2 linked regions of the Caenorhabditis elegans genome follow. The protein of the gene in region 2 interacts with the protein of the main gene of each other region in a pairwise test. Each region holds a gene or a part of one and is shown on either strand. Other genes may lie near its edges. The genes, in order: exoc-7 and F17A9.5.

Evidence for each region.
Region 1: the proteins of F17A9.5 (region 2) and exoc-7 interact in a two-hybrid assay, tested with the Caenorhabditis elegans proteins (one large-scale study listed by BioGRID).

Annotation. Positions count from the first base shown.
Region 1 is NC_003279.8:4,236,429-4,254,517, forward strand, and holds exoc-7 (Exocyst complex component 7), read right to left. Parts: upstream 11,155-18,089; 5' UTR 11,153-11,154; coding exon 11,039-11,152; intron 10,993-11,038; coding exon 10,827-10,992; intron 10,778-10,826; coding exon 10,276-10,777; intron 9,595-10,275; coding exon 9,285-9,594; intron 8,379-9,284; coding exon 8,229-8,378; intron 7,762-8,228; coding exon 7,345-7,761; intron 6,744-7,344; coding exon 6,510-6,743; 3' UTR 6,393-6,509; downstream 1-6,392. Other genes in the region: C43E11.5 (Tyrosine-protein phosphatase domain-containing protein), read left to right, coding at 606-686, 963-1,271, 1,321-1,701, 1,746-2,000, 2,051-2,131; ndx-7 (Putative nudix hydrolase 7), read right to left, coding at 2,744-2,940, 4,838-4,961, 5,005-5,144, 5,299-5,670, 6,244-6,298; tufm-2 (protein-synthesizing GTPase), read left to right, coding at 11,333-11,549, 11,596-12,138, 12,273-12,832; cogc-5 (Conserved oligomeric Golgi complex subunit 5), read left to right, coding at 13,071-13,144, 13,614-14,749, 15,064-15,466, 16,221-16,413, 16,480-16,644; C43E11.12 (Transcription factor TFIIIC triple barrel domain-containing protein), read left to right, coding at 16,814-17,143, 17,192-17,416; met-1 (Histone-lysine N-methyltransferase), read left to right, coding at 18,048-18,082.
Region 2 is NC_003283.11:6,105,539-6,120,859, forward strand, and holds F17A9.5 (NADH:flavin oxidoreductase/NADH oxidase N-terminal domain-containing protein), read right to left. Parts: upstream 7,460-15,321; 5' UTR 7,395-7,459; coding exon 7,143-7,394; intron 7,092-7,142; coding exon 6,405-7,091; intron 6,229-6,404; coding exon 5,951-6,228; intron 5,902-5,950; coding exon 5,763-5,901; 3' UTR 5,433-5,762; downstream 1-5,432. Other genes in the region: atf-8 (BZIP domain-containing protein), read left to right, coding at 198-359, 798-863, 920-1,024, 1,410-1,631, 1,690-1,860; cwf-19L1 (CWF19-like protein 1 homolog), read left to right, coding at 2,290-2,382, 2,433-2,547, 2,596-3,039, 3,086-3,239, 3,314-3,432, 8,332-8,582, 8,638-8,802, 8,851-9,111; F17A9.4 (NADH:flavin oxidoreductase/NADH oxidase N-terminal domain-containing protein), read right to left, coding at 3,500-3,656, 3,712-3,989, 4,037-4,723, 4,773-5,024; ceh-49 (One cut domain family member), read right to left, coding at 12,975-13,185, 13,523-13,925, 13,972-14,032, 14,397-14,663.

The sequences.
Region 1 (18,089 bases), on a different chromosome or scaffold from region 2:
AAACCAAAATTTGATTTTCAATTTCCATTGAACATTTTTCTTTCTTGGCCAAAATTGAAATTTTCAATAATTTTCAGTTAGTTCTCAATTTTTTTAAACGAAAATTCCGTTTTTTTTCGAAAATCAAAATCGACAAATTTTAGATAAATACGTATTACTCATAGAACTCAAAAAATCTAATCTTCTGTTATATCTCTAATTCTTCGAAGAAAAAACATGTTTTTTTCACCAAAATTCGATTTTAAAAATAAATCGAAAATGTTCGCTTTGAAATTATTTATTTTTTGGTCAGAACTGTAATAGATTTTCAAGAATCAGGGAAAACGGGATCTCTTTCCGTCCGGATGACTAGTCTCAATAATGATTTGAAATGTACAAACAATTTCTGATCAAAATTATTTTTTGCCTTTTCACTCACGTGATAACATTTCAAAATTACAAATTGTTGAAGTCAGTCTAGCGACCTTCTCGTGGCCCCCTACTGTATTTGTTATTCTTTCCACGTATCTTCTCCACATCCACATCATAATTAGTCAAATCAATTTATTCTGAATTATTCTTGTCTCCAAGGTTCAAACAAAAACTCAAACGAGAACGGAGTTATAATGGCACCATCAAAGTCAAAGGAAAAGAAGGATAAAGCAAAGACAAGCCGTCGCAAATCCGGATCTCAAGCCAAGAAAGATGTAAGTTTGATATTTCAGCACAGGATCAGGAGACTTTTCTTGATCAATTCCTCATATATTCGCATTTATGCGCTAGATGAGCACACAGTTAATTTGCGATGGATCCATTGAGATCAAGGATTCACGCGCGCCTTGTTGCATGATTTCGTGGAGCACATGTGCATCGTGCGTCCATGATGTCAATGCTGTAAGGTTCCTGAAGAACACATCGCAAATTAACTGTGGATAACTTTTAAAAAATGAGTGAGAACTTCAACTACGAGAATTTCATTTCAGACAACAAGCACCGTGTCTGAAGGACAATCGCCAACTGAGGTGGCTGATCAGCTTTTGAAAGCAAAGAGTCGCCCTCAAATGTACGACCTTCTAAAGGGACATGCTGCATTCAATGTGCCGGAATTCGTCAAGAACCTGCCGGTAAATGTTCGTTTGCCGATCCCGATTAGAGATAATCGGCGCGTTCTTTGCGGATCCGATGAGGAGTTCTTCCCAGGACAGTACGTCAGAATGGAAGGAGCTGAGTACATCATTGTGCAGGCGCCGACCAAGAAAAGCTCAAAGCTGATTTGGAGAGTCATTCTAAAGGTTTGTTATTTTGTTGAATTTTTAAACATCATTTCAAATTTATTTTCAGGATCACATCAGAATTCTTGTGTGCTTGTGCCACGACGAACAAATGAGTGGTTCCGATGATGGAAAGTGCTATACATACTTTCCAACTGAGCTAGAGCAGAAAATGGAAGCTGAACTGATGAAGGGAACTCTTTCCATCGTTTGCAAGGCTCGTGAAGGTCTTAGCATGGGAGCAACCAAGTATGAGCTAGAGTTGACTGATAGTGAAGTTGTGATCGATAAGAACAGCGATGATCCGAATGCATCGAACTATAAAAGTCACCGACTCATCGTTTTCCATATGAATACTTGGTCTGGACAGAAGCCAACTTCCGGGAATGCTTTGGAGCAAGCTCAAAACGTGGCTCTTTTCTTTCGTGAGGTCAAGAAGTTTGAGATGGACGTGAGTTGAAACTAAAGACTGCTGCAAATAATAACAGTTAATAGATTCTGCGTAAAAGTATGGAAAACTTTGTGCCACCAGTCATGCTCCAATCATTCGATGGCATTAATCGTGCATCCACTGGTTGGGTTGCTTTGATGTTGTTGAGAGACGTCGAGAAACGAGAGTGTTTTGATGTTCCAAGCTTGATCAAAGCAATCATGAAGTTTCGAAATGGATCCATCTCCACCTACTATCAATTCTGTTTCTGCATGGCTGTTTGCTTGAATATCGGAAAGGATACAAATTGGTGCGCAAATGTGAGAAATCTCATAGGAAATAGTTTTCTTTAACAAAAATAACATTTCAGGATTGCAGCACGGCACTGACTGATTTGATGGAAAAGTTCGGCAACCGTAAACTGAATGAACTCGGGAACTTGGCAGTCTAGAGAAGAAAAATGAGCCTGAACTGAGAACTATTGCAAAATAAAATGTTTGTAGAATCGTGCTTTTCTGTTATTTTTCAGTATTTTCAGCAGACTGACTATGAAAATCTGGTTTTTTTTAATTCTACACTCTGAATGAGTAATAGTATTTTAGTCTCGCCACGAAAGTTTCCTGCAAAAAATTGATAGTGTTTTGCGCCTTTGAGGTTACAGTATCCAAACCCAAATTATTATAACATTTCAAAAAGTTTTCGCGACGAGACCATTTCTATTATCCAATGAGGCAACTAGAAACATCAAAATGGAATATTGTAAGTTCTCAGTATCAAGGAATTTGAAGTGGCTTGTGAGAGGATTGCACATCTTTCGATGCACCATATCCGTAATTTTAATGTGTTTCAGAATGCGAGAACTGGCGAACGGAATCAAGACAATTGAATCAAACCATTCTTCCTGGCAAGACAATCTGATGAAGGAGATCAAAGTGGCATTGCGTAAATGAAGAAAATGATCCTCACTTGAAAATAAATATTTTTTTAATCAGCTTTATTTTTAGAACATCAACTATTAACCTAGAAATATACACCCGAACTAGTAATAAAATAATTCAATTAATCACAATAAATCCTTCGAATGTGTGTCAAACTGATGGAAGGCTGCAATATCCGCTGGTTTCAGTAGGTGCTGGTACAACCGAACTTTTCCATACATTGGCTCCGAATAGTAGGTGGCGCGATGAGTTGGTTGAGTTGGATCAACGGTAACACGATCAGCAGACATTTGACGGAGCGGTTGTTGCAAGCTGTTTTCATCTGAAATTAAATTAAAAAATTAAATTTCGTGGGAATTAGTTTGGAAAACTAGGTTGAAATTGGGAAATTGTTCGATTTTTCTAGGCAAAGCTACATAAAGCTTATTTAAAATATTTAAAAACTACAGTAACCTAATAAAATTTAGCTCGTGGTCACGGCCTCTCTTCATTTCAAAAAATAAATAAATTGACGTGATGAACTGTCTCTGCGTCTCTCATGGGCGAGAGAGTGAGCTTTTTGAGCCGAATTTGTACTGAAAACGGTAAAATAGACCGGAAACGGCTGATAGTGAACAAAATCTAATAAAAATTTACTAACTGCCTGATCAAACACATATAAATTATATGAAAAAAAGGGCAAAATTGTAAATCACCTATGAATACGCCCACATGTGAAAGTTCAAAATCAGTGATTTTCCAGACAAAACTGTTTAAAGCCGGCGATTCGCTGATAAATCTTTAAATTTTTTATTAATATATTGTCAATTAAGACTAAGTGTGTCTATTTTTATGCAAATATCTAGGTTAGTGATGTTCACGACGCCGGCAGACGGAAAAACAAAAGGCTACCTCGAAAAATGGATTTTTTTTGGGACCTCTAGTGATCCTTGAAAAGAGAAATTTGAAAATTGAAGACCACCATTTTGTAGATAATTTTTTTATGATTATTTTCTGTTTTTGATGAAGGTTTTTTGATGAAAATTGACGTCGGCATCTTCAAAACAAGAATTAGGCCTGAAAACTCCAAAAATCGTTAAAAAACGACAATTTTTGGCGGGTTTTCCTAATTTTACGAGACGCACCAAGACATAATCAAAAATTCAACATCACCAAAAGTTGCAAAATTCTCTAAGGAAGAGATTAATATGTCAATCACCTGATTTGATCAAAAACTGATTGAGTAACTTCAGTTTTAAGACAATGCGATTGTAATTTTTGGACAACCGCAAGCATAATAGTTGATGTGAACGCTTTTGAAAACATATAACTCGGTAACCAGAAAAGCTATCAAGAAACTTTAAACTACAAAAATAATCTTGATAACACAAGAAACATTTTTTATGTGCATAATACTTGGCTATTCTCACAAAATACATAGTTTAAGCTATGTAAAGATTCAATGCTTTGAAAAACTTTGATAGAGATACCACGAAGGTATTCGAAATTATCCGTTTGCACAATCAACTCAAAGAAGCAAAAAATAACAAAGTATGGATTAATACCGTCTGATACCTTTTTCATATGTCACTTTTTGTTTTTCCCGTACGGGATCCCGTCTTTACAGTCGGCAACCGACTGAAACCGAGGCCACCAATGAATAACTCAGGTTGTGAACCCAGTCGGGAAAGTCTCATCAGTTTTCCATCAGTGTACGACAAAAAATATACCGTATTTCCTCTATTAGTTTTGCACCCCTATTAGTATTGCACCCCTACGGATCAATCGAAAATAAGTCATGCAGACTCTATTAGTCTTGCACCCCTACGGGTCAATTGAAAATTAGTCTTGCATTCAAGACTAATAGAGGAAATACGGTAATTGGGTACGATAGGAATACGGTAGGTTTATAAGTTATGTAAGTTTCTACAAATGTAACTACTTTAGTTTCTCTGTACCAAACTTTGAAGAATTTTTTATTACTTTAAAGATCACTGAAATAGTGAACCGTTGTCTACGAGATCAAATATGTCCAAAAATTACCATTTGGTATCGGTCCTAACAAAACAGTATTTATACCAAAGTTTTTTCTTCGTCAATATTTTGAATTTAATTTAAAAACACATATATTATTCAATTTTCAATCTCACGTGAGAGAGTGTGAGAGAAAAAGAGGAATTTTGAAATAAATGAAATTGAGAGAGGCCGTGATGGTGAGAATATTTTTTGCTTTAACTTACCAATATACATATAATCTCCTGGAAAGCAATTTGTGATCAAGTTCTCTCCTATTGTCTTGATTGGCTGCGGACAAATTGGCTTTTTCACATTTCCATATTTCTCACAAAGATCCCAATCTTTCACCTAAAAATAACCATGTAATTTTCAGGAAATAAATCTATGAAACCTGTGAAAGGCGGGTAAGTTCATAGACTTGTGGTGGAGGCAACGCATATTTTCCGGCATAAGCTTCATCGACACACTCTTTCGGTTCAATCCAATTATATTCCGACATTTCCGATGTACATAGATCGATTGCTGGTTCGTCTAGAAATGTTTTTATATTTTCATGGGCAACTGTTATATTGTTTTTATGAAAAACTTTAAAATCAGATTTTTTTTCAAATTTGTTGCATTTTGCTCATTTCCTTTGAGTTGTTTGGGCATTTGAACCCGTTTTCCATTATTTTCAAACTCGTACCATCCACGAGCATAAGATAAAACTTTGTTAGAAATCGTCGTGGATAGTTTGCTGGAGTGATAAATGTATCCCATTCGATAAGATTATCTGCACAAATAGTTCCGGATAGCTGCTCGAATTTCGATGTATCATTTACAATATCCGCTTTCAGACTCGTCATATCTGGATTATTCGCCGACGTTTGCCATCCATTCTTTGTCGAAAGCACTCCAGATTCTTCGAAAAGCTCTCGAACAGCAGCAATTCTGAATTCATCGCCGAGTTTTGCATCAGTTTTGTCGACGACTCCACCGGGAAAAACCATCGTATTTGGCATGAATTTGGCAGTGGTGCCACGTTTCAGCATGAGTACACGGCGAGTGGTTTTGCATGCTGAAATTCAGGTTTTTTTTATTGAGAAAAATGTTAATTTTTTAATAGCTGTGTGAGAAAAGAAACTGGAATTGTTTTTTTTTTGAGCAAAAAAATTAAATTTTTTGACAGCATGCAAACCGCAATCGTGTCATGGGGTACGGTAGGTTACGGTATGAGATATCAGAACCAAGGCTGGGTCTTTTATGGTATTTTTGCACCACAAAATCCAAAAATTGCTTTCTGTACTACGATCATTTTTCATATTTTACAAATATTCTTTAGCAAAATTTGGTTTTAGTGATTTTTTTCCTTAAAAAAATTACAAATAAATCGAAATTCGACATTTTTGGTTTTCATTTTTATTTTTTTTAATGTCATCAATTTCGACATAATCGGTGAAAATAATTGAAGCCATTTGAATTTCTGATTTTGCCGCCAATATTATAATACCTAACGAGCCCCAACGTTAAAGGACGAAGCATTTCCATTTAGCGGTTGAGCGCGATTGCACCTTGATTCTGCGTCTCCATAATAATATTTTATAAGTTACGATATCATCGTTTCACTTTTGAAAAATTTAAAGAAAAATACCTAAAATTATGGAAGCAGCCGATCGCCAACTTGAAGTCACTTTTCCGATACACATACTGAAAAATGACCATAAAAATATAAAAATCACAAGAAAATTTAGGAATTTAAGCCAAGAATAAGGCTGTGGAACATATAAATACGATATGGTTGAAGTAATAAATTCTATTAACAGTGAAAATACATGAAGCAGACAATAAATTAGCAAATTAACATATCACAACAGCGAAAAAATTATGATAATATTTAAAATATAAGTTAAATCAAATTTAGTTAATTCTAGCAGATGAGAATAGATTTCGAATAGCCATTTCAAAAGTATTTTCAGTATATTTAATTCCTTGTGGGAAGACGTGTAGGCGTTGGCAAGTGTCCAATAGTTGTGAGTAATTCTTCCAGATTCGAGATTTCACTTGTGTTTGAACGTTGGCAGATATCTTTGGATCCGAAATGCAATAGTCCATTTGTTGAGCAAGTACTTGGTCGAAGTCACGGACAAATGTCTGCAAAAAAATAGAAAATTAACTTAAAGGGACAATTTTTGATTTTTCGAATTTTTTAAAATCGAAGAACAAAAATTTTTGGAAATTTTATCCGATTTAGTTTATATTATTGAGAGAAAACATACAATTTTCTTCAAAAAAGAAAGAAAAAATACCAAAATTTTAAGCGTATTTTTGAAAAGATGGAAAATTTATTCCGAAATATCGGAAAATCGAAAAAACGAAAAGCGAAAAATCGAAAATTTTTAGTTTTTCGATTTTTTGAAAAAGTACACCCTCCTGATACCGAATATCAATGGGAAAAAATTCAAAAAAATTTTTTCCTGATTTTATATTAATTTTTTGAATATCCGAAAATCCACTTGTTTCCAATGTTTTTTTTGCAAATTTTTAACTTTTTGAATATTTTTCATCCTTTTTTATTGAATTTTCATAAAAGAAAAATATTCGTCCGATTTGAAAATCGCCAAAATCGTCGTTATTTTTTTTCGAATTTATTACATTTTTTTTTGGTTTGTTTGGTATTATTTCGGCTTTCTTTAAAAGTAAATTCATATTATATTCCCGGTTTATTTTTTAATTTAAAAATTCCAAAACCTACGCTCATAATCTGTTTGGCCATTTGTTTATCCTCTCCAATACGATCAACTGATTTAAGAATCGACGCGATTCCATTCCAACTCTTCAAATATTCATTTGTACACGTGGCAATTTCTTCATGATAAAATGATAAAATATTTGAATTCATTTCAGTAATCGCTGGAAGAAGGCCATCTTGCTCATCAGCCAACGTTTTTGCAATATAATTATAGTTGTTGAGCAAAAATATAGTTGCAAGTGTTGGATCATCGTACAGATTCGCTTTTTTCTTCAGCATACTTCCCAGAGCAGAGAGGATACGGGCAAATAATTTTGGAAGTAGAAGATTTGTATTGGAGCCTTGTGGAGCTGTGAGAGCAAGTACGTGTTGGGTTACTGTAACACGATGAGCTGTCAGGCTTGACAGGAAGTTTAGAGTCTGGAAAAAAAAACAATAAATGGGTGCATCAGGGATTGGAGGCAATTGTCGTTCGGCAAATTGTTTTGCCGACAAATTCGGCAAGTCGGCAAATTGCCGGTTTGACAATTTGCCGGAAATGTTGATTTTTGGCAAATTGCTGATTTGCCGAACATCAATAAGGACGGAACTGTTTAGAGGAATTTTTTATAAGACGGAAACACTTAAAACTGTGCATTTTTGAAATTTTTCGCTTGTTTTTTCTAGATATCTTCATAAAATTTGCTTACTTTTCAAAATAGATGTATGAAAATTCATAGGATGCGTAAAATTTTGTAGATTAAAATATTAAAATCTGAAATTTCTAAAAAAATTTGCAAAACCAGCAATTTGCCAATTTGCCAGAAATTTTCAGTTCCGGCAGTTTGGTGATTTGCCGGAAAATCGTTTGCCGCCCCCGGGGTTCATGAAAAATGAAATAGAATTACAGAGGCAGTTGTCGGATGAACATTTCCATCTGGTGGCACAAATTTTGTAGTGTCTTCGTTCAAATTCTCGATCACTTCATTCACATATGAAGAACATTTTACTTGTAGCTGACGCATGAGAGAGTCGAATTGAACATCTCCAATACTGTTCTGTAATTTTTAGGTTTTTTTTTTTGGAATTTTTCGACTTTTTGGAAAAGAAAATCAAATTTTCAATAATTCTCTAACAAAACCGACAAGGTTTAGATAAATATATATAAAATTTTAGACTTTTTTTTTTGATTTTCAAAGATAAAAACTTTCGTTTTTTTAAGTCCAGAACTGGGAATTTTTGTATCTTTTTTAATTTTCAGTTTGTTACAGATATTTTCACTTTTTTTTTTAAATCAAAAATTATTTTTCTTTTTAACGAAATCATCAAATTTTCGATAAATTTAACCGCTTTTTATCTCAATTTTAAGGAAAAACAAACTGAAAATTTTCATTAAATTTCGGTCATTTCTCCATTTTTTTGAAGCAAGTTTCATATTTTTCTCATCAAAACTCGATGTTTAATTTCCGCTAAACATTTTTCGAATTTCTCAGCGAAAATTCAAATGTTCAATAATTTTCATTTAATTTTATTTTTTGTCAAAGAAAATTCTGTTTTTTTTTCTGATAATCAAAATCGACAAATTTTAGATAAATCTATATAACTCGTTTTTTTTTTCGATTTTCAAAAAAAAATTTTAAGCGATTTCTTTAATTTTTTGAAAAAAATTGTTTTTTTCTCACCAAAATTATAAATAAATTAAGAATTTTTGTTTTAAAATTATTTATTTTTCTTCTCACCAAAGTCACTAATTTTTTTTGTAAAGTCTATAAAACCTTAGTCATTGTTTTCAATTTTCACGAAAAAATCAGAATTTTCGTTAAGTTTTTTTTTCTATTTTTTTTCAGTAAAAATTCTATGTTTTTTTTTCCAAATAAAAATTTGTCAGTTTTTCAAAAATTCAAACCACCATACACTTTTTTCATTTTTTTTTTGGGGTCATTTAGAGTGGCAACAAATCATACCGTAGCCAAGTTATGGAATCTTGCATAATTTTGAGACAAAAGATGAAGTAACGGAAGAAGTGGAACAATTCCAATATCTTTCTCATTTACTACTTTTTGAGTTTGAACAACTGCGTAGGCCAGTGGTCTTGACACGAGTTCTCGGAATACTTGGGCTCTTTTCGATGTGTCTGGAATTGCTTTAACCATCAACTTTTCCTCCAATTCCAGTAGACTAAGAAGTGCAGAGCACATGGCATGACACGCATCCAAATCAATTAGGACATCTACTTTTTCGGATCGCTGGACGGGCTTGCGGACTGCTGTGGATCTAAAAAAAATGTTTTTTTGAATTTTTGAGAAATTGAAAATATTTGGTTTTCGATTTATCGAGAAATAGCTGGAATTTTTGTTAATTTTCTAATAACTTTTATTTCGATTTTTCAGTTTTTCAGACCAGGGCTGAGACATTGTTTTTGAATTTTTAAGAAAAATTTATTTTTTTTTTGGTTATTAAGACTAAAAATTCAAAAAAAAATTTCATTCTTTCTTGGTTTTTTTTTTAACAGGCATCAATTTTTTTTGGCTTTTTTTTTTGGTTTTTCGCAAATTTCAATTTTTTTATTTTGGTCAAAAACACTTTTTTTTCCAACAGCCGTGTTCTTTATCGAGATGTGAAAATTTGCGTCAAAAATACCGGCCTCAACACGACAAATTGTGAAAAATTATGCGCCTTGGAGGATTACTGTAATTTCAAACTCTAGTTCCGAAAATGTTCATCGATTTTGTTATCGTTTGTATCAGTCCGATCTGTCGAAATTTAAGTTTTTTAATTTTTTAAAAGCTTTTCTGAAGCTTTTTTCAATTAAAAAAGTACTTTTTTTTAATCGAAAACTATGAAAGTTTGAAATTACATTCATTTTTAAAGGTACACATCTTTTTTGTTTTTTATCAGAAATGTGTCGAGACCGGGTACTGTATGACTGGCGCACACAAAAACACTCAATCTTACAATTTACTTCTGGAAGCAAGTTGCGATGATTTCTGTGCTTCTGCGATGCTCTTGATATTCTTCAAAATTTGTGCTCCACGAATTTCAGAGTAATAACCCAGAAAATTATTAGGAACACGTGGCTGCTTCAGGAGCCAAACTCCAATTTTGATTATCGGTTCTTCATCGGTCATAATTTTGATTTCACTCAATCTGGGTGTCAATTCATTTTTTACAAAAGGTGCCGGATCCACGGTAATACTATTCTTCAGAAGAAAATTCTTGTAAGCTTTTTCAAGCATTGTATATCCAGTGTCCAGTGTGATTCTCATATTATCCGTTTGACTTCGATAATTTGGATGGGTTTCGAAAAATATGATTGCTTGCTGCAGACTTTCCATATTTTCGAGATAAGGGTCGAGATCGACGGACGGATTTCCACTATTTATTGCATTCTCAACAGTGCTAGTTTTTCCGTAAAATTGAAGAGTAGCGTCAATTGTATTGATGAGACGTTGGATATCTGGAAAATATCTTCTTTTTTTTAAAAGAAAACTGCCAAATTGACATACTATGCTGTTTCTTTTGCAATTTCCCGTTCGAAATATGCATCGGGAGCACATTCTTTTCAAGAGAGCTCAATCTCTGATCAAACTTTTCAACAACTTGTTCGATTCCTTGTCGTATCTGCGCGCTTTTCGCGATGTTCTTTTGAAAATTCTGTAGCCATTCTTCCTCCTGAAATGATTTAAATGATCAATCTTCTTTTTCAGCAAAAACAAACCTGAGCTAGTTTTTTGGCTATCGATTCGGCAGCATTTTGATCACTTGCCATTGGAAATATTCGAGAATTGACAGAGAAAAATGGAAAACAATAAAAATAATAAACAACCAACATGTGACCTAGTTACTTCCTAGGCCACGCGGCCGCGTACTCCTCGAGGACAAAATGAGTTGCCACGCAATTTTTGGAATTTTTTAAATTAAATTCAGGTTCCAGGTTTCTATGGTTTCAAAGTTACTAAAATTGTTATAACCGATTTTATTATAACATGAATTTCTCGGTGTTATAGGTAAAATGAACCCCGCTGCTTTGTCGGCATTCACACGATCTCTACTATTCAATCGATGCTCAACATCTTCATTTTGTAATTCAATCACACGAAATGCCGTCGCTTTCTTTGCCACTGCAGCTGCTACGCCAAAAATCAATGTAAATGTGGGAACTATTGGACACATCGATCACGGGAAAACAACTCTAACATCAGCAATCACAAGAGTTCAGGCTAAAAAAGGTTTAATTAATTTTTATATTATTCACAAATGAATTCAATTCTGCAGGTTTTGCGAAGCATATTAAATTTGACGAAATCGATAAGGGAAAAGAAGAAAAGAAACGTGGAATTACAATCAATGTCGCTCATATCGGCTATGAAAGTCCTCTGCGTCGATATTCCCACACTGATTGCCCCGGTCACTCGGATTTCATCAAAAATATGATTTGCGGAACTTCACAAATGGACGTGGCTGTTCTTGTGATTGCTGCAACCGACGGAGTCATGGAGCAAACCAAAGAACATTTGATTCTAGCCAAGCAAGTTGGTGTTAAAAATATGGCGATTTTCATCAATAAAGCGGATTTGGTTGAAGAAGATGATCTGGATTTGGTAGAAATGGAAGCACGGGAATTGTTGAGTCTGCATGGCTTTAATGGAGATGCGACTCCAGTTATTCGAGGTTCCGCTTTAAGTGCTCTAGAAGGACAAGATATTTCGTGTATCGAGAGATTGATTGATGCATTGGATTCACTTCCAGAGCCGGATAGAAATGAAAAGGATACTTTTGTAATGCCAATTGCATCGAAAACTGCTATCACTGGGCGAGGTAATTGAAAAAAGAAATATAAGGTGTGCCAATCAAGAATTTATTTTGCAAGAAAAAGTGCAAGAAATTTCAATAAATGACATTTTTTGCCACCCCTAATATTTAAAAAAAAACCAATTTAAAATGTTTTTCAGGAACAGTCATCGTCGGTACACTGGAAAGAGGTGTCTTGAAAAAAGGCGATAAAGTTGAAATCAAAGGAGACGGGCAAACTCTTCAAACGACTGCTTCGGATATCCAAGTTTTTGGCAAAAGTGTGAAGGAAGTTCGTGCTGGAGATCATTGTGGAGTTCTGTGTAGAGGAGTTAAAGGGGATACAGTGAAGAGAGGAATGTGGGCAGGACATCCAGGAGCAGTAACAATTACGAATCGAGTGAAAGTGGAACTTTATCTTCTCTCGGAGGCTGAAAATGGCAGGAAGATCGGAATTCGGACTGGTTTCACAGACAAAATGTACTGCAGTACTTGGGATCAAGTTGGTCGTTTCGATATGAGCAATGAGCTTCTGATGCCAGGAGAACATACTTCTGCTACAGTACTCTTGATGAAAGACATGCCACTCAGAAAAGGAATGCCGTTTACATTGAGAGAAGGAAGCAGTAAAACAACGATCGCTAGAGGAATCATCTCAGATCTAGAGGATCATGTGGCTGTAGAGAAACATAATCTTAAAAAGTCCGCTGAAAAGATGTAGTTCTTTATATATTACAGTATTGATTTATTTTAGGTTAGATTTTATTAGCTTGTTAACTACTATATCTTGTTTTGTTTTTGTTTTCTTTTGTCGAAATCTTCGAATAATATTTCACTACTTTTATTGTTCAAATAATACCATTCTCCTATTAATAGCAGTTTTACCTGATCTGCTCATTAATATCTTTATTTTTAATTTTCGTATTAAATAATAATTTATTTTTTAATTCCAGTTTAAAATGTCGGGGAGAGTCGACGAACAGCTCGACGACTTCCTCTGGGGAAAAACTGATGTTAAGGATTACTTGAAAAAGTAAGTCGCCAAATTTTGTGGATTTGGGTCTCGACACGACAATTTTTGTTTAATGAAAAATGGTACGCGCCTTTAAAGAGTACTGTAGCGTCGATTCTTCATAGTTTTTTGCAAAAAGTATATTCATTTATTTATTTTTTAAAAACTAAAATAGAACAACATAAACTTTAACAAATCGTAAGAAAAACTATGAAAAATCGATAAAAACTTCGCAGCATCGAAAGTTTTAAATTACAGTATTCTTTAAAGGCGCACACTTTGTCGAAAGATGGAGTACCGCCAGTAGAGAAATTTTTAAAAAACATAACTGTAGTGTTACATTATATTAATAAAAAATCAAATCAAAAATGTTTGCAAAAGTTGTTATTTCAATTGACTTGAAATTTCAAGTAATAAAAACTTTTTTGGAAGTCGTCGATCAAAAAAATTATCTTCAAGTTTTTTTCTAAGTATATGTACAAATTTTCAGGGTAGCAGAATGTGACTCATCCGTAGCTGAATCATTGAATCGAAAAGTCGCTGGACTCCATGATACCCTCGACAAACAGCTTCGTAAAGGAGTCGAAACTAATCTTCCACGACTACTGGAGCAAGTGCCAGCTCTTCAATCACTTGAAGATACTCTACATTCAGTTCAAATGCGAATGACATCAGTGACCAAAGAATCAAATCGACTCGCCACGGTTTGTGATGATCTTACCACGAAGCTTCGCGAACAAACTCGCCAACTCGAAGCAACGATGCTCAAAAGAAACATGGCTTCAGATGCCCAAAGATGTGAAGAACTTTTTGAATCTCTTGAGAAACGAAGTGATTTGGTGAAGAAGGCGGAGATCACATCGGAGATTAAGGAGATACTCAATGATAATAAAAATTTGCGAAAAATTGGATGGTTGAAGAATATGGTGGATACCAAGTTGAAAGTGGCTGAAAATGAAGTTCGACGCAGTGGAGCGGAGGAGTTGAAACGAGGTTTAGCGTCATTGAATAGCTCGATGGTTGTATCTGCTCAAAGAGCTCTTCGAACTTTGAATTATTTGGATTCAGAACTTGAAGTTTTGCTGTCCTCCTCTGTTGTCGATCTGGATAAGAAATTAATGGAATTATCAAACAGCTCTCCAGAAGTTGCTAATAAAAGTCTCCCTGTAGTCGCTGCAACAATTCAATCACATCTCGAACAAGCGGCTATGCTGGGTGAAGTCTATAAGAAGAAATTCTCTGAAAAGTTGGCTCGACTGATTCGTAGCAGAGTTCCACTCGATACTCCATACGCTTTGCGGTTTGTACAGCAATTGGGTAGAGTATTCAATTCAAAGGGAGATAGTTCACCCGCTTTGAACGATTCTTTACGTCCACTCAAGAACTCTCTCCTGACTCATTCACTGGCTCGTTTGCACAAACTCGTTGAAGAAAATGACTTCTCTACAGCTCATGCCAATGCATTTGTCGATCTTATCAATTCTGCAATGGAAGAAGAACATCGAAAAGTCGACTGGGACGCGGAGTTGAGCCAGAAAATGAGCAATAATATTGAGAAATGCATTGAGATTATTGCAAAGAAATTGGAAGCCAATCTTCATTTACAAAGAGATGATTTACTCCTAGGTGAGCTGTGAAATTAATACTTTTTTTTGTTGATTTTTTTTATCAAAAACAAAAAAAAATTCCGAAAACCCGAGAAAACGATGACGATATTTTCGGCGATTCGATAAAACTTTCTGAAAAAGTCCTGTTTTTTTATTCGAAAATTTTTCCAAATTTATAAAACTTTCAAAACATTTTTTTTTGAGACTTCTCTAAATTTTCATTCTTCAAAAATTGAGTTTTTATTATGATATTCGAGCTTTTTTGAGTGTACAAAACAAATATTTATTTTCCATACTCCACATTTAAATGACCAAATAAAAAAACATTTTCAGGAGACCGATTGACTGCAAATCAAATGACAAACTATCGTCTCATTCAAACCGCTGATGGTATCACAAAACGTTGGCCAGCAGAATCGAAAAGTGTGACAGCGATTCAAAAAGAAACTCTTGATGCGATCGTCATAGAAGTCAAAAACTCGATTCGCGCGATTGTTGCAAGAATGCACGTTGAAACACGCGGAATGACAAAATCCGTGGCTCCGTACATGCAAGAATTGCTCACCTACATTAATCATATCGACATGCACATGGCTCACGTTTCACGAGCAGTTTGTCATTCTCACGTACTCTCACAAATTGCCGAATATGTCATTGACTCATTTATTCTAAATGCCACATTAGTCAGATCACATGCTTCTGATGAACGTCAACTCATTGTCATTGACTTTTCAAGGTAATAGGGTGCTTAAACTGAAAATGTTAAAAATTTTTCAAAAAAAATTTTTAAAAAACGTTTTCTTGCAAAAAATTACACTCGAAATAGAAAAAAAAACAATTTTGATCAAAACATGTAAATTTTTCTAAATAATTTTTCAAACCTCAAAAAATTTATTGTTTTTCTCATTTGTCGTCTTCTAAAAAATTTCCAAAAAAATATATGATTTTTAAAATATCGAAAATGTTTTTTTAGAAGAAAAAAACCTCTTTAGTCATTTTTATCATCAAAACCATTTTTTTTTGATAAATCTATAGTTTTATCGTATTTTCCTATTTTCTGTGGAAATAAAACCGAAAAATCGAACAATTTTATTAAGATATCCTAGAAAAAAAAATTTAAGAAAAAATTTTGAAATAGCAAAAAAAAAGAACAACAAAAAAACCTGATTTTCCCTGTGGTTAGCAATTTTTATATTATTTTAAATTTATTTTCCAAGTTGTCGGTTAGACATTTTAAATTTAAACTCAAAACGGCGCGCTGAATCACAAAAGTGTTAACTTTTTCTGTTTTTACATCGGTTATGATTCAGCGCTTTACATCTTTGCCGCCATTTTGTATTTAAATTTATTTATTTAACTTGTCTAACTGAAAACTTATCAAAAATGTTTAAGTTTTAACCGAATTCAGAGGATATCAAAACAAAAGAAATACGTTTTCAAACCTTTTATTAAATTATTCAATAATTTCGTCAGAAAAATTACTTTTTCAGATTACTCGAAGCCGTTCGTTCAATGGAATGGCCTTCCAAATATGGTGACACTACTCGACTTTTGGATCTTTTCGGAAGCGATGTTGATGTGATGCTCAGAGTTGAAGGTGTCAAAAAGTCGATTTTAATCCAGCTACTAGTATCCGATAGCCCTTCAGAACTTCCACTTCCTAATCAATCTGTAAAATGGACGGTTCGTAGTTTTCCACAATACTATGAATACTCTAAATATGAAATATTTATATGTTTCAATTTTCAGCCCGAAGAATATGTAAAGTGGTACGAAGAGCACACTGAGCTGGAAGTTCTCGCATTCCTCAACGGACTTGTGTCTTCGTACAATAGTTCTGTCATCTCACGTGGTCAACAACACTATGTCGATCATTATCCTCGTATTGTGAAGCTTCTTCAAAATGCTTTCTAACCTAAAGGACACTCGGAGAATTTAACAACGCATGGGTTTATGTATTTATGATTGTGATAATATTTATTTATTTGGGTGGAATAAAAGTGTATTCGTTTATTCCTACAATTTCCATTTGTTCAGTCTCCACGGTTCTCAGCCATTCTTCATATTTCTATTCTGAATTGTTATGTGTTTTTTTCCAATTTTTTCTTTCCAGAAATATATTGTAGAATTCAAAATGTCGCCCATCAAACGAGAACCAGAAGAAGCATGCCTGAAGCCAATGCGATTTGAACAAGAAATACCCGAAAGGGTAGATGAGCCGGAAGAGATGGAAGTTCAACCAGAAGAAATAGAGGAAGAAGTAGAAGAAGACGAAGGTGATGATGATGAATGGGAAGATGTAACGATGGTGGTCACTGTCAATGGAATTCTCGACGCGGATCTTGTTAGAGATGCCGTCGAGAGAGATTTGATCAAATTGCGGTACGCTGAAACGGATGCACCAGTTTTACAGGTAAAATGGAAATATACAAACTCAAAAGTAAAATTTTATGAATTTCAGATCAACAACTCACTATACACGGCATCCTGGGAGCAAGATCTCGGAACAAATATGGTTCTGCAGTCAAAAGGAAAAGAGATGGAAGTGATTTCGTGTACATCGACCATGATGACTGCAGAAAAAGCCCTGTTGACCTCGTTAAGCACCGAAGGATCTACACTAGCCGCCAATGCAGAGACTGCTCCGAAATCTGATCTCAGTCGAACTCAACCACGTCAACAATGATTTTCAAAATATAAATTAACATGAAGCTCTGAAATAAACTCATATAACTGCTAAAATAAAACTGTTGCTTTTGAAACCAACATTTGTTAGACAACCTGCGTCTCACAGTCATTTTTCAATATATTGGCGCCGCGCACACACAAAGAAGAAGAATTCGTCCTCATGGCATGGCATGTGCAGTCAGCGGCCACCCTGTGTAACCACTGCGTATCGCATCTTTCCACGTGTTTTTGCAATCTTGCTGTCACGTTCATTTCCTCGTACAACCATCTCTTCTACCCCCGTTGCCTCCTCCACCATCTCATCTCAATTGTGTCGTTGCCCTCCCTCTCCCCAAGTCTTTCTGCGTCTCTTAGTGCTCTTCGAGAAAAGAACGAGGAGAGCTGTGAGACGCTAGTAGGAAACGCATTCTCAATTCGATATAGGCACATTGAGAGAGAGCGAGCGCCGTTTCGACGTCTTCTAGCCTTCACATCATCCAGACGACGTTCACACGCACACACAGCCAACCCCACCCTTCTGACAACGAATAGACGACGAAGAAGAGAAGAAGAAAAAGAAGAAGGTACCCATTTTTCATTCCCTTTTTGCCTCCACACTTCACTATTATCGATTTTGTGAGCGAGCTCTAATGTTTCAACGCAAAGTGGTATTGCCTAAAAAGCGGTGAGAA
Region 2 (15,321 bases):
ACCCCCTCTTCGGACCGTCCGACCGATGACCCCTTTTGCGGGAGGGCGCGCGCGCAACGGGAAGCAGTGAAATCAAGAGAATTAGGTCAGTGAGAGGACGACTTTCATTTTCGAATTTCATACTTTCTCTCTTCCCACACACACACTTATACACCGGACTTTCTCTCTTTGAAAGCGCAACAAATCTGAAATTACATATGGCTTCATGTCATGAACCATCTGCTTTTAAGAGCCTATGTGCTCATCCTTCAACTTTAACTGCAACATTTGACGTATCACCCTACTCTTCAGCTTTTCATCTTCCTATTCATCCAGCATTACTTTCAAATACACATTTACTACATCTCAATACCTATAATGTAAGTCTATGCAAGTAATAGTAAATCAGCATATACATACATACATTTGGTATTTCTAAATATTTTATGAAACTTTAGGCTATTTTATTTTCCAACTGATACAAACCTGCCAGAATAAATAAAAACATACCGTATTATCCCAATTAGACTAGAACCCCATTATTCCACTTTGGCAGCAAATATTTTGGTTCGTATTAAACATCAATAAGTAATTTATTAAGAAACAATAGGAAAAATAAACAAAATCTATATAGTCAGTTGCCAAATTTTTTTCTACATTAAATTTTGAAAATTGGCCTCCCAGATATAAAATATCAAATTCGAGGAAAAGGAAGTTTCATTAATAGCTGAAATACGGTATTAGGAATTTAAATGATACAAATTTTAGTCAAAATGAATAAACATGAACAGGTGAGGTATAAACTATTATATTTTCAGCCAACAACCTACGAATCAACTGAACGGCTCTTTGAGCAAAACAATAACAATAGTGAAAAGGCAGAGGTAAGTTGAGCCTCAGATTCTTGAACTATGATGTTACAAGCTTCTTTATTTTTCAGTCATGCTCATCGCGAGACAGTAGTCATGATTCATCATCCCCGACATCAACTGGAGGAAGCAGTCGGGATAACGTCATTGTCAGAAATGAATTGAAACGGAAAAAGGTAAATCTAAAAAAAATCATACATACACATAACAATAGAGTTTCCCTGGTAGGCAGCAGGCGCACGGGGAACTTCAGGCGCACGGGGATGCCTGCAGCCAGTTCTGCATTTGGCGTGAACTCTGGTATTTTGGTATTTGGATAGTGAAAATTTGGTAGTTTCTCTTCTTAATTGATTTGCTGAAAGTCCAATTGAAAACTGAAAAGAGCCAGACAGACACTTCTGTGTAACATCTCCAAAAGTTATGTTTTTATTCACTCCCAAATTATGACTAAATCTAGAAGATGCCTTAAACATTATTCTTATTTTAAATTTTAAATAATTCTTAGTTCCCATCCCAGAAATATACCATTTTGAGTAAAAATTGAAACAAATTTATTTTCAGGATCAAGTGAAAGATGTAGCATATTGGGAACGACGACGAAAGAATAATGATGCTGCGAAACGAAGTCGTGATCAAAGAAGAATGAAAGAAGATGAAATGGCTCATAGAGCAACAAGTCTAGAACGTGAAAATATGTTGCTCCGTGTAGAATTAGATCAACTGAGAGCAGAAACTGATAAGCTAAGAGCACTGATTTTGACGACACCTACAACGTCTATTAGTGTAAGTTAATTGATATCCAATCAAAATATAAGTGGTTCTTCAAAATTCAAATTTCCAGATTCCAATTCCTCTACAATCTTTACCACTTCTCACTGCACAAACGGCTCCAGCTTCATCAGTGATAACTACAAGTCAGATGTATGCACCTCTTCCATTAAAAATTCCAAAGACTCCTTCACCATCTCTTCTTCGGAGTACAGTGCTAGTCAGCAACTCTTCTAAAACTTGATCATTTTTGAAATATTACTCTGAAATTATGCATTCATGTTTGTAATTATTGATTAGTTGAGCCAGTACTCGTAAAACTCGAAAAGATATCTGTGATTTGCAAAGCTAACCGATGTAATAAACGTTCATTCACATTTTTGTTCAAAAGGTTCTGCATTTAAAGTACAAAAAATTATGATTCAATAAGAAATTGTGACCGAAAAAACATATCAGAAAAAACTAAATTTGAACAGCCGCCGAAAAGACACCAAATGGACTAGGAAACCGGGACGTGGCCTAGCGTTCCGCGAGTTGTGTGGATTTACGAATAATTTATTGCGTTCTCAATTTGAATGATTTTCCTTGTTTTCAGTTGTTTTTCCAATTGGTTTTTCATTTTTCTTGTTAAAATTAAATAAAAATATTCACAAGAATCAAGATAAATTTTCAGATGGCCACACAACAAGCGAAAATATTGTGTTGTGGTGATGTGAATGGAAATTTTGTAGAACTCATCAAGAAAATATCAACAACCGAAAAAAAGGCATGTTTTATCGATTTTTGGGATTCATTCAATTATTTTTTTTTCTTTAGAATGGCCCATTCGATTCACTATTTTGTGTTGGCGAGTTTTTCGGCGACGATGACGATTCAAATGAGAAAGTTATCAATGGAAATATCGAATTTCCAATTCCAACCTACATTTTGGGTATGTTTAAATACAATGTGAACTTCGAAAATTTGTCTGATTTTCCAGGTCCTGCAAATCCACGCTACAGCTATCTCTATCCCGAAGAGTCGATTGAATTCTCTTCAAATCTAACATATCTTGGGAAGAAAGGACTTTTAAATACTGCATCTGGATTACAAATTGCATATTTGAGTGGAGTTGAAGGATCCTCCAAAGATCTCAGTTGTTTCGATAAAGCCGACGTCGAAGAACTATTAATCCCGTTAGGAACTCAAGTTGGATTCTCTGGGACCGACATTCTACTCACATCCGTTTGGCCAGCAGACATAGCACGTCATTCACACAATCAACCATCTAAACCACAACCAGGATCTGTTTTATTATCAAAATTGGCTGCTCACTTGAAACCGCGATACCATTTTGCGGGTCTTGGAGTTCATTACGAAAGGCAGCCATATCGAAATCATCGTGTGCTTTTAGAACCAGCAAGGCATACAACACGTTTTATAGGTAAATTTTGTATTCAAAGGCTAATAATTAATTATAATTATTTCAGGACTGGCTGCGATCGGGAATCCAGAGAAGCAAAAATGGCTTTATGCTTGTAATGTGAAACCAATGCGAAAAATGGAGAAAGAAGAGCTCACGGCGCAGCCACCGAATGCATCGGAATTCCCATATCGAGAATTGCTGGAAGAGATTGCTGCAAAGTGAGTTGCAACTTAAAAAAAAAAACTTTTTTTTTTCTATTTAAATTTCTATTTAAAAATTTTCTTTTTTTCAGAGAAACCCTCAGTAGAATGAACGGAAACGGACAACGACCCGAAGGTTCGCAATATCGATTTGAAATGGGAGGTGCTGAGGATGGAGCTGGAAATGGAAGAAAGAGACATAATGATGGAGGTGAGTATTTATTTAATTTAAGAAAAATTACATATTACAATAAGATCATGGTTGTTCCAAAGACCAGTTAGGCTTCTTGCTTGATTCCTTCAAAAACTAGAACTCCGTGAATCGGCTTATTTTGAGAAGCCATGCTTTTCATGAATACTGTGTAGTCCTTGAGAGCTTCTTTATAGCGATTTACTGTTTCTTCATTCGAAAAGTCACTGATTCCGTAGGTTGGACTAAAAAAAGAATTGTTTTTAAAACTATCGCATTAACAGAAAAAAAAAAACATACGTTTGATTAGTCTGTTGGTAGGTTGTACGTCCCATTTGTTGCATTTGAGTATTGCTAGCCAAGTTTGTAATTCCAAAGTCATTCTCATCGAGTGCATTTTTAATTGACGAAGCAACTAATCCCTCGATAATTTTCTTTGGTAAATCTGGCTCGGCGGTGATTGGACGTCCCAATCCGATTCCTTGGGTAGCACCATTTTCAATAGCTTCTACCATTGCTTTCACGGTACGGAAGCCACCGGTCAAGTAGACAACGGTTTTCTTGAAAACTGGACGAATCTGAAATGGAAGCTCATTTAAATACTGATTTTAACCAGGAAAAATACCTTTTCGGCGAATTCTAAAAAGAAAGCTTCACGGTTACGAGTCGAATCACGCATATGATGGAAGGCGAGCTTCTCATAAGTTCCACCGGAAAGTTCTACGAAATCGAATCCTTTGTCTTCATAAACCTGGCACATAACTTTTGCATCGTCAACAGTTGTTCCCTGCTCTTGGAACTCTACCGAGTTTGTCTTAATTCCCACCATAAATCCAGTTGATTCGGGAATTTCAGCTCGAATAGCGTCATAGATCTCAAGGATGATGCGTTGACGATTCTCAATTGAACCACCATACTGATCAGTTCTCTTATTGGTAGTTGGAGACGTGAATTGAGCCAAAAGATAACCATGAGCTCCGTGAAGTTCAACTCCATCAAATCCAGTCTCGTAGGCAAACTTTGCAGCATAAACGAATCTATCAATGATTTGAGTCTTGATTTGCTCTGTGCTCAATGGAACAGGCTGTCCGAATGCAGTGAAACGCCGTTCACCACTCAACTTCACATCAGAAGCCGACCACGGATTCGGTTCTACTGTAATTGGAGTCTGACGGCCTCCGTGAGATAATTGAACAACGGCAAGAGCTCCGTCCTGCTTCATGTTTTTTGCCCACTGAGTGAACAGAGCTCTACGTTCTTCTCCATCTCCTTCTTTGAAAATTATGGCATTTCCAGCAGATTCCAAATTAGTCTAAAATTATATAGAACGTATTATTTTTCTAAACTCTTCAGTGACTTACCGGGTCGACAAGAACATTTCCAGTCAGAATAGTACCAAACTTTCCGTGTCCCCATTTATCGTACAAGTTCAAGATGAAGTTTGTAGGAAGACCATGCTTCTTTGGATTTTCCGGATCATAAGTGGACACTCGTTCGGTTAGTGCAGCTTTCAAAAACCGATTTTGAGCAGTTTTCCCATTTCGGAAATTGAGTTGCTCTCCAAGAATTTTAGAAGAGACAGTTAAATTATCACAGAAGCGACTGGCAGCCATTTTTCGAAGAAATGAAAGAACAAAATGTTACTTTTATAGCAGTGTACACGCAGGTCAAATATAGTGCGTTTTCTGATCGGCTAGGTTGTTGGGCAAACAAGAGTATGCACACCTTATGAAAAGACGCAGAGGCAGAAAGAAAGTGTCTAACCAAAAAGATGACAACGTTTGCTGTTCTATTGTGGTCTCACTGGTCGAGTGATGACAATTGTGCACCTGGTTGCCTGAGAAACGAAGAAAGATCTGTGATCTTATGATTTTATGGCTATTTCGAAAGTAGAATCTGAATTGCATTTTGTGCCCAGTCACAAAGTGGAGACGCCGAAGTATTATATTTCTTCTTTCTAACAAGCCGATTAGAATTGGTTATGATACACGTCGCTGAATAAGTTTTCTAAGAGGCAAAGATAGCATTACGAGAAAGTTTTATAAAAAGTTTAAAACACCTAGATTATGTAAAATAGGTTAAATGTTACGGGAACACAACATGCTGAGAATGCGTATTGGGCAACATATTTGACGCGCAAAATATTTCGTAACGAAAACTACAGTAATACTTTTATTGACTACTGTAGTCGATTTACATACTCGAATTTCGAAATGAATTTCTAATCGAAAGCGAATTATTTTTTAAATTATTTTAGTTTTCGCTACGAGATATTTTGCGCGTCAAATATGTTACCCAGTACGCATTCTCAGAACTTTGCGTTTCTGTAATACCAAGTGCAAATACAGTATTTAGTTGAATGCAATTATTGCTTTCGGTATTTTTCCTTCACTAATATCGAGTGCTGCTTGTTTCACATGTAAGCCCAATGCTTCAGAAAATCTTTGAACGGTGTGCTCATCGCTGAAGTCGGTGATTAGATGCATTATACTGAAAATGATTAACTTTCCAAAGTATCAAAAACTACTTTGGATCATACTTTCCGCCTGCTTTTTCCATATTCGTACGCCCCATTTGATCCATTTGTGTGCCACTTGCCATTACTGTTGTTGCAATATCATTTGGATTGAATGAGTCTTGAACTGCTGAAATGGCTTTTCCTTCTAGAATCTTCTTTGGCAGATCTGGCTCCGCTGTAATTGGGCGCCCGAGACCAATTCCTTGAGTTGCATTACAGGAGATTGCGTTGATCATAGCAGAAACTGTTCGGAAACCTCCAGTCAAATATACCACCGTTTTATTGAAAACTGGGCGAATCTGAAACCGTTACAATCAATTTAATTTGATTGATTGTGAAAATGGATGACTTGGCAGGGATCCTAATTCGATTAAAATTTGGAAAGTACGAATGTATAAACTTTGACTACGTGTTTTCAAAAACCTTTTCTTACATGATTTTTTGAAATATTGTTAGTATATAAATAAATAATTACCTGTTCGGCAAATTCAGCAAAAAATGCCTCTCTCTTCTTAGTCGACTCTCGATCCCAGGTCCAGTTGAGCTTCTCAAATGTTCCTCCAGTTAGCTCCACAAAGTCAACTCCTTTGTCCTCATATACTTGACACATAATTTTAGCATCTTCCAAAGTAAGTCCTTCTGATTGAAATTCCACTGAGTTTGTTTTAATTCCCACCAAAAAACCAGTTGATGCCGGAATTTCAGCTCGAATAGCATCATAAACCTCGATAACGATTCTCTGACGGTTTTCCAGCGAGCCTCCATACTTGTCAGTTCTCTTGTTAGTTGTTGGAGATGTGAATTGAGAAAGCAAATATCCATTGGCTCCGTGTATTTCGATTCCATCGAATCCACATTCATATGCAAATTTGGCAGCATAAACGAATCGATCTACCACTTCTGTTTTAATTTGCTCAATTGACAAGGGTTTCGGCTTTCCATACGTTGTCATACGTGTAGCCGATACAAGTTGAACATCAGAAGCTGACCAAGGAGTAGGATTCACGAACTCTGGGGTCTGTCTTCCAGCATGAGATAGCTGAATTACGGCAAGAGCACCATCTTGTTTCATTAGCTTAGCCCAGTAAGTGAACAGAGCTCGACGCTCATGACAATCTCCTTCCTTGAAGATTATAGCATTTCCAGCAGCTTCCAAATTAGTCTGAAAAGGTCAGTATTGAAATGAATGGATTTTTTTGTTGAAAAAACTTACTGGGTCCACTAGAACATTCGAAGTTAAGATCATTCCGAAATTTCCATTTCCCCATTTATCATAAATATTAAGAATAGTATCAGTTGGAAGACCGTGCCTTTTTGGCTCATTTGGATAATAATTGGATTGAATCTCGGTGAGGGCAGATTTCAAAAATCGATTATTAGTTTCTCGACCATTTCGAAATTTCAAATGTTCTCCAAGAACATCTGGGGAAACGATTTCAGCATGTGGGAAACGACGAAGAGACATTTTGGTTCTTTGTGTCGACGAAATGATTGTTGTATTTATACTCTTGGCCACATTCTAACTACAATGCATGTTTGACCTTATCTCTTGGTAATCGTTGTGTTTTTGGGTACTCTCTCTTTTCCACCACATGAAAATTTGTTGTTCTTTGATTAAAATGCGACCTTTTTCTGTATTTTACGGCCTAGTAATTTTGTTTTTTAAACCTGAAAATGAAAGTAGTATTAAAATGAACACATTTGAATTAAAAGTTAAACATTTAGTGCGTAGGGATAGAAAAGGATAAGTACCTGTTTTTGTTACGAAAACAACTGAAAAAAGGAAGTATAGAAGATCATAAAACATTCTTCGCCTAGTTAAAATACATTGTAAGAATATAATGAAATTTTGGAAAAAAATAATCCAAAAAATATTTCAAAGGCTTTTATCGCCAATTGTACCGAAACAAAAAGTTTTAAAAATTTTTTAAATAATTATATTTAAAAAAAAATGCAGACATCTATTACGGGAACACAAACTTGTAAGAATGCGTATTGCACAACATATTTGACGCGCAAATATCTCGTAGCGAAAACTACAGTAATTCTTTAAATGACTACTGTAAGTCATTTAACGGGCTCGATTTTTGAAATAAATTAAAACAATCTATTTATCGATACAATATTGAAATTAGGCAAAAAATGAGAAAATAATACGAAGAAACGAAGGAAAATAACTGATCGCTTATCGAACCCGTAAATCGACCGAAACGCTACAGTAGTCAGTTAAAGAATTACTGTAGTCTTCGCTATGAGTTATTTTGCGCGTCAAATCTGTTGCACAATACGCATTCTCACAATTTTGTGTTCCGTAATATGCACATTCTTCAAAAATACAGTTTTCGAGTTTTTAATTGTATTGACTCGAAAAGGTTAACAAACATAAAAAAACGTTTTTATAGGAAACGATGGACCACGAAACAAGCAACCAGTTGGACCATGTTGGTTCTGTTTATCGAATGTAGACGCCGAAAAGCATTTGGTGGTCGCCATTGGAAATAAATGCTACGCAGCCATGCCGAAAGGACCACTCACTGAAGATCACGTTATGGTTCTATCTGTTGGACATATTCAATCACAAGTTTCTGCTCCAGTTGAAGTTCGTGATGAGATTGAAAAGTTCAAGAGTGCGTTCACATTGATGGCGAATAAGGTAATTATTTAAAACAGAAATTCGTTTTTTTAGCCTCAAAATCTGTATATTTCAGCAAGGAAAAGCATTGGTCACGTTTGAACGTAATTTCCGCACACAACATTTGCAAGTTCAAATGGTTATGATCGATAAATCATCTTCGAAAGCATTGAAATCATCGTTTACAACTGCTGCTGCTTGTGCTGGTTTCGAGTTGGTCACAATGGGTCCTGATGAAAGTGTAAGTTCGGATTAATTATTTTACAATGAATAAAAGACAACGTTTCAGCTTCTCGACATGGTCAATGAAGGATGTCCATACTTTGTCGCAGAGCTTCCTGATGGATCAAAGCTTTTCACTAGAAGTATGAAAGGATTCCCATTGCATTTCGGACGTGAAGTTCTTGCTTCTACACCTATTCTGGATTGTGAAGACAAAGTTGATTGGAAAGCTTGTGTACTCGCGAAAGAGAAGGAAGTCGAACTGGTCAATAAACTGAAATCTGATTTCAAACCTTTTGACTTCACTGCTGAAGATGACTCCGACTAATCAAGGATTTTAATTTTTACGATCTGTTATTTATTTTATTGCTTTTCTAAATATTTATTAACTTAATTCCTCTCTTTTTGCTTGTTTTCTTGTGAAAAACTTTAAGATCAGTTTATGAAGAAGAAGAATTTTAATGCACACGAAAATGTTATTTGAAAAAAAAATTACTCTCAATTTGAAGGAAATTGGATAAATATGTGAAAAGACAAATGTAGTTTTCTTTAATTCTGAAAAAAACTAATCTTTCTACAATAATTTTTATTTAAGCAGTTACAAATTACGGGAACTTACAGTTCTATTGCGAAAATATCTCGCAGCGAAAACTACAATAATTTTTTAAAAATTACTACTGTAGTGCATGTGTCGATTTACGGGATCGGGGTCTAACAAGGAAGAATTATTTATTTATCGATAAAATATTAAAGGAAAAAATGAGACTATAATGCGAAATAACGAAGGAAAATGGAACATTGCTGTCAATATTCAAAAACAAATTCCTATGCTACAGTAGTAAAACTTTCATGAAATATCCTCATTCTTGAGATACATAAGTTTCACGAGAAAATGCCAAAAGTGAACTCACAAGGTGTCGGCTGCTGTATCTATTGATTTCAATGTATTAAAATTTTGAACCATGTGTTATCATGCAGAACAAATGCCACGTGGTGTCAGAGTGTCCCATGTCGGTTTGATCTACGTAGATCTACAAAATATGTGGGAGTTGAGACGCAGAGTTCTCAACTGATTTCGCATGGTTAAGAACGTGTTGACGTTTGGGGAAAAAATTCCCCCATTTTTTGTAGATCAATTCCCGATGGAACAGCCTGAAACCACGTGAAATGTTAGAAAAAATTTTGTTATTTGGGCGTTTCTTTCTATAGTTCCTAGATTGTGAGTTATACTTATTTGAAAACTAATAAAAATCACCAAAAAATCAAAACCGCATATACTTTTGGCCAACACTGTACATACTCTCCAATAGCAACACATGAATTATTATTGAAAAAATACGATCGCACAATTTTCTCATAATTTATTTTTGATTTACCTTGTTGAATAGGCTCCTTCTCTTCCTCCGGCAAGACAGCCGCAACAAAATAGCAACGGCAACAAGATTGGGGGCGGAGTCAAGTTCAACAGGTAGATCAAAAATAAATTTTGAGAAATTTGTGCGATCGTATTTTTTCGATAATATCTACTTCAGGATATCTTTTTATTATTTTCTCGAATTTCACTTGTTTCTAGAAAATATTGCTTGCAAATTTCCCTAACAATTCTCGATTCCGAAATGGTTTTGTCGTCGAAATGGTCGAAATGGAAATGATTTTTTTAAATAGCTCAACTTTTGTAAAACCTAATTTCATAGCTTTCAAACGTGACATTTATTTGGATACTTACTATTAGGACTAGAAAATGATATTTTTATAACTGAATTTCAAAATGTGGGGTTATATATAATACACAAGTACCGGGAAAGTATTTACGTGACCAAAGGTTATCATAATGGCATCAAGACGTATTATATTGATTTAAACTCTTTTGCATGATTTTAATTTATTTCTGAATTTCTCCACTAATTTCATTAGTGTGATCGATACTCTCTGCTACTCCTCGACGAGCACAAAAGGTACGTTAGCCAGAAATGTAAATTAGATACTAGGATACATCGAGGTTCCGTTATTGTATTTTAGATTTAAGTAAATTTCAAGGAGAAAAATTTTCACTCCAAAAACGAAAAAATTTTTGAGGAACCCATTTGAATTGTTTCCAAATTTTGTCGTTTTTGAGAACCTCAAACACATACAATTTATTTTTTAAAATTTAATATTACCATTTCTTTTGAAAACGTAATATAATTTCCATTTTTAAGAATGTCCGCCGCTCTACGTGAAAATGAGCTCATTATTCGAGCATGCATCCTGTACGAGTCTCTCGACCACAAACCAATTGAGGAGTCATACGAAAACTTCTGTAGAAAAGTTGGAAAAGACGTGATGACGTTCTACGAATTCGATTTTCTGTTTTATCAATTTAAAAACGGGAATCACGACCTGTATCATGATCGCAGGTATGAAATGGCTTTTAGAAGAATAAACACTGGTTAATTCAATTTTTAGTAAGGATCCGAAACAACTGATGCTGTCGGAAATGCCAATCGACGTGATGCCCGATATTTTGAAACACGTGAGTGGTGGTGATAGGTAAGATTTTGTTAAATTAAACCTCAATTTCATAATTCATATTCAGATTGGCTGTTCGAAAAGTGTCCCGAAATCTTCGCCACATTATTTAAACCATGCCATCAGGATTTCATCACATTTCACTTATCAGGGATAACAACTCGTTGCAGATGATTCTTAATGATGCTGAGGTTTTGTACAGTCCAAGAGATGGTGGATGCGATGTCACGTATACTCATTATATTCAACAGCCTGTAGGTGGCGGACACTCAAGTCATATTAAGCAAGCATTTATTGAAGGATTTGATTATACGGATATATTCTACAATGATTTCAAAATACTGCTGAAAAACAAAAAAAAGTGTGCCTAGACGATTTCACGATTCGCATGGTCAACGATGAAGGAACGACTTCTGAAAAAGATGTCGAAAATATCACTCATGCCATTGAATCATCAAAAATATTTAACGTCGATTGGGTCAAAATTGATGGTTTGAGCTTTGCGGAAATCTGTCCAATCTTGGCACAAATTCAACCTACCAGCCTGCACTTTGAAGTGAAAAATGGTACGATTGGTCACGAAGACGTTGTGAATCTTAAACAATGGAAAAAAGCCGACATTTTCAATTCGTATACCTACATGACCATTCCGATTGAGAATTTTCTACATTTTAACCATATCTCCATTAGTTTGACAGAACTCACCACTGATGACGCGCTGAAAATTTGTAATGTACGTTTAATTTGTATAAATTATTTCAATAAAGTTCATTTTTAGATGCTCGACTCCTCGGAAACTTTTTATAAAGCATCGATCACTGTGAGAGACTTCAATTTGATGGAAATTGCGAGAGTCTTCGATCCGGAAAATGAAATCATCAACGAAGAGAATGGAAATGAAGAACTCTACTACACAGCCGCAGATGGCACAAATTTCAGAATTCATATCTACTCGGAACAGAACGAAAAAAATTTGAACATTGAAGTATGTAGCAGTCTCGGAAGATCAATTCCATAATTACTCGAATTTTTCAATAAATGTGTTCATTTTCATGTAGTGAATTATAAAATTTCAATACTCAACAGAATAACACATTTGACGGATTATTTGAATGTGCATTTTATTAATTTTTAGTTTAAGAAATGTGGTTTCTTCCAAACTGTCCGTGGAGAGAGTGCAACGGATTGATCAAAAACTGTTACGCTTCTGTAAAGGAGATCTTTAAATACTTGCATTCTACCAGCAGTATGGTTTCTCACAACCTTGATAGAAAAAGTTGAACGGACATTTTTTATGCAATCTAATATCATAAAGCCACCAAAGATGCTGAAAGATGCTGAGATGACGAATTGTATAAATTGAGATGAGCGGTCGATATTTTCTCTGAAATTTGAAAGTTTCTGAAAAATCGAAAAAGAAAAAAGATATTGTTTCGATAAGTTTTACTATTCCCTAGTTGGTTTGCTGCTGTGCACAAATAAAAGCATCAACTATAGTTGGTATACTTATAAATATTTATTGGAAAACTAATAGAATGTTGAACAACTCAAGAAGTTAACTCCAAAACTGATGTTGATGAAGAACACAATTAAAAAAACCACCAGTCAATTGTGATGAGATACGTGTCAAACCAAAACTTCAAAATTATATATTAATTAAACCCTTCAGATTTTCAAAGAATATTAATTGTGGTCCATTTTCACTGAAGACGTAGCCTTGCGCCTTCTCATATTCGTGAAATAATTGATGATCGTGCTTTTGCAAAGATTGAGAGTACTTCCCAGTTGCTTCATTTCCAGCGAGTCTGGACGGGGATTGGTCTCGAAAAAGATGCTGAGTTGGCTTTTTTGATCCTGCGACAGCAAACATCGTGCTCGCGGAGTTTTTGTTGTCCTGGAAATTGGTAACTTTATTGTCAAAACTTGGGGTTCCTTGAATAAAGTTTGTACCAAATCGCACGAAAGCATTGTCAGATTATTTCAAAATTTTGGGTCAAAGTTTTTGTAAATTGCTAAAATTTTTCAAAAATATCAACTTTCCAAGTAATGTTGATATGTCAGATCTTTTTTATTGTAAATTAAAACATTCAAACAACTTTTGAAAAGTGTTACTTTGATATTTTGTCGTTCGGAATCTGACGATCCAAGCTTTCTTATTTTGCCTCATACATATCTAGTTGGAAACTCCTAATATTATTTGAAATAAAAATTTCCAACAACTTTAAACATACTTGTCAGCCTTCTCCTTCTTCAAATCAAGCTTCCAAATCTCTGCGCGATCATCCTCAGACATTTCCAGCCAATTGAACATTCTCTGGTAGACCGTTCTTCCCATGGAAACTGCGTCCCATGGTTTTGGATGATTCAGCAGTTCGGACAACGATCCTTGAGTTCTGTTGAGAATGTGCTCCGCGAAATTTGTTTGGTTCATTGGTTTCGAAATTTCAATATGCCTCTTGTTTTCGGAAAAGAAGACAAACATCTTATCACAGAGATCTTTTAAATCGAAGTCAATCTCTTTTATGATTGTTGGATTATCAAGCATCGCAAGAGCTTCCTGCTTGCTGTACTTTGACTGTTCAGAGTTACTCGATGAGGGAGATACAGCTTCTTGTCTCTGTTTAAGAGGTGCTCCTGAAAAACGTTTGATGTTACATGTAAATTGTCACTTCAGACTTACTCTTCTGATACGGAGCTGCTCTTGTCTGGGAGGGCTGGGTCTGAACCACTTGAGTATTATTCTGAAAAATTTAAATAAAACATCATTTAATTCAGTTTCAAAATGTGGTTTGGTTTTGTCTATGAATAGCTCAATTATAGTACGGGAAATACTACCAAGTGATATGTGAAATTTTGTGGTTTTCCCCAAAAATACGGTACCTGGTCCCGACACGATAAATGTTCGTAATCTGCAAAGGGGGTGTGCGCCTTCAAAGAGTACTGTAATCGCCAATGCTCGTTGTGGCAAATGTTCCCGTTGAAATCAATTTACTAGACTTCTTAAAGACCCTTTTGCGTTTAACAAAAATGTACCGTGTCGAGACCAGTCACCATATTTTTTGGACAAAACTTAGCATCTGTGTAATAAGATCCCATTTGACTTACCTCCTTCTTCGCATCTATATCATTGTCGAGTTGTGAATACATGGTCATTTGTTTTGGAGCATCCATTGTCACGCAGTGCCCCATAACTTGTGGAATCGTAGCGTAGATATTGAAGGGGGTGTCGAGCAAAAATGGATAGGCAACTATTGGAGTTTGAAAATGGCTTGTCAATTCAACTAAATGTTCTACTGGAACTGAATTTGAGCAACCATATTGAGTGTAGTTTGGCGTGTAGGGAGAATTGGTGAAACACGAGAAGTCGGACATTTTACCTGAAAATTTGAATTTTTGGATGTAAATATGTCAATGGAAAACATTGAAAAGAAATGTTTAAAGATTACAGCCAGTTTAAAACAGTAGTAAAAAAATAAAGAGGAAAATGATAAGAACAAGTAAAATATGAGGGCTCGAGATCACGGTATATTTCTAATGATATATTTTAACGAAGATATTAACATGGAAAATATATACTCCAATCTATAAGTTGACAGGCAGAGGTGCCAAATTCAATAGTCAGGTGAAGACGAAGAGTGACCAAGAAACAAGAAAATGAATGGTCCCACCAAGAAACGCTGACTCTGTGGCTGTAAATGGGCGGATACGGGAAGACGGGGGTCATCTCCACACCTCACTCTGTTTAACTGGTTTTATAACTGGAGGCGATACAGAGGGCTCCATTTTGGTTTGATCTACGTAGATCAACAAAAAATGCGGTAGTTTTTTTGTTGATCTGTTCTTAACTTGCATGGTTAAGAACGTGCTGAGGTCAAATTTTTTTGAGCTAAACACTCCCGCATTTTTTGTAGATCAAACTGTAATAAGACAGCGTGACACCACGTGGCGATGTATTTAGTTGAGAGAAATAAATACTTGGTTCCCCTAGGTTGAAAGGTTCGATTTGGCGGTGTGACTATTTTTTGTTGTC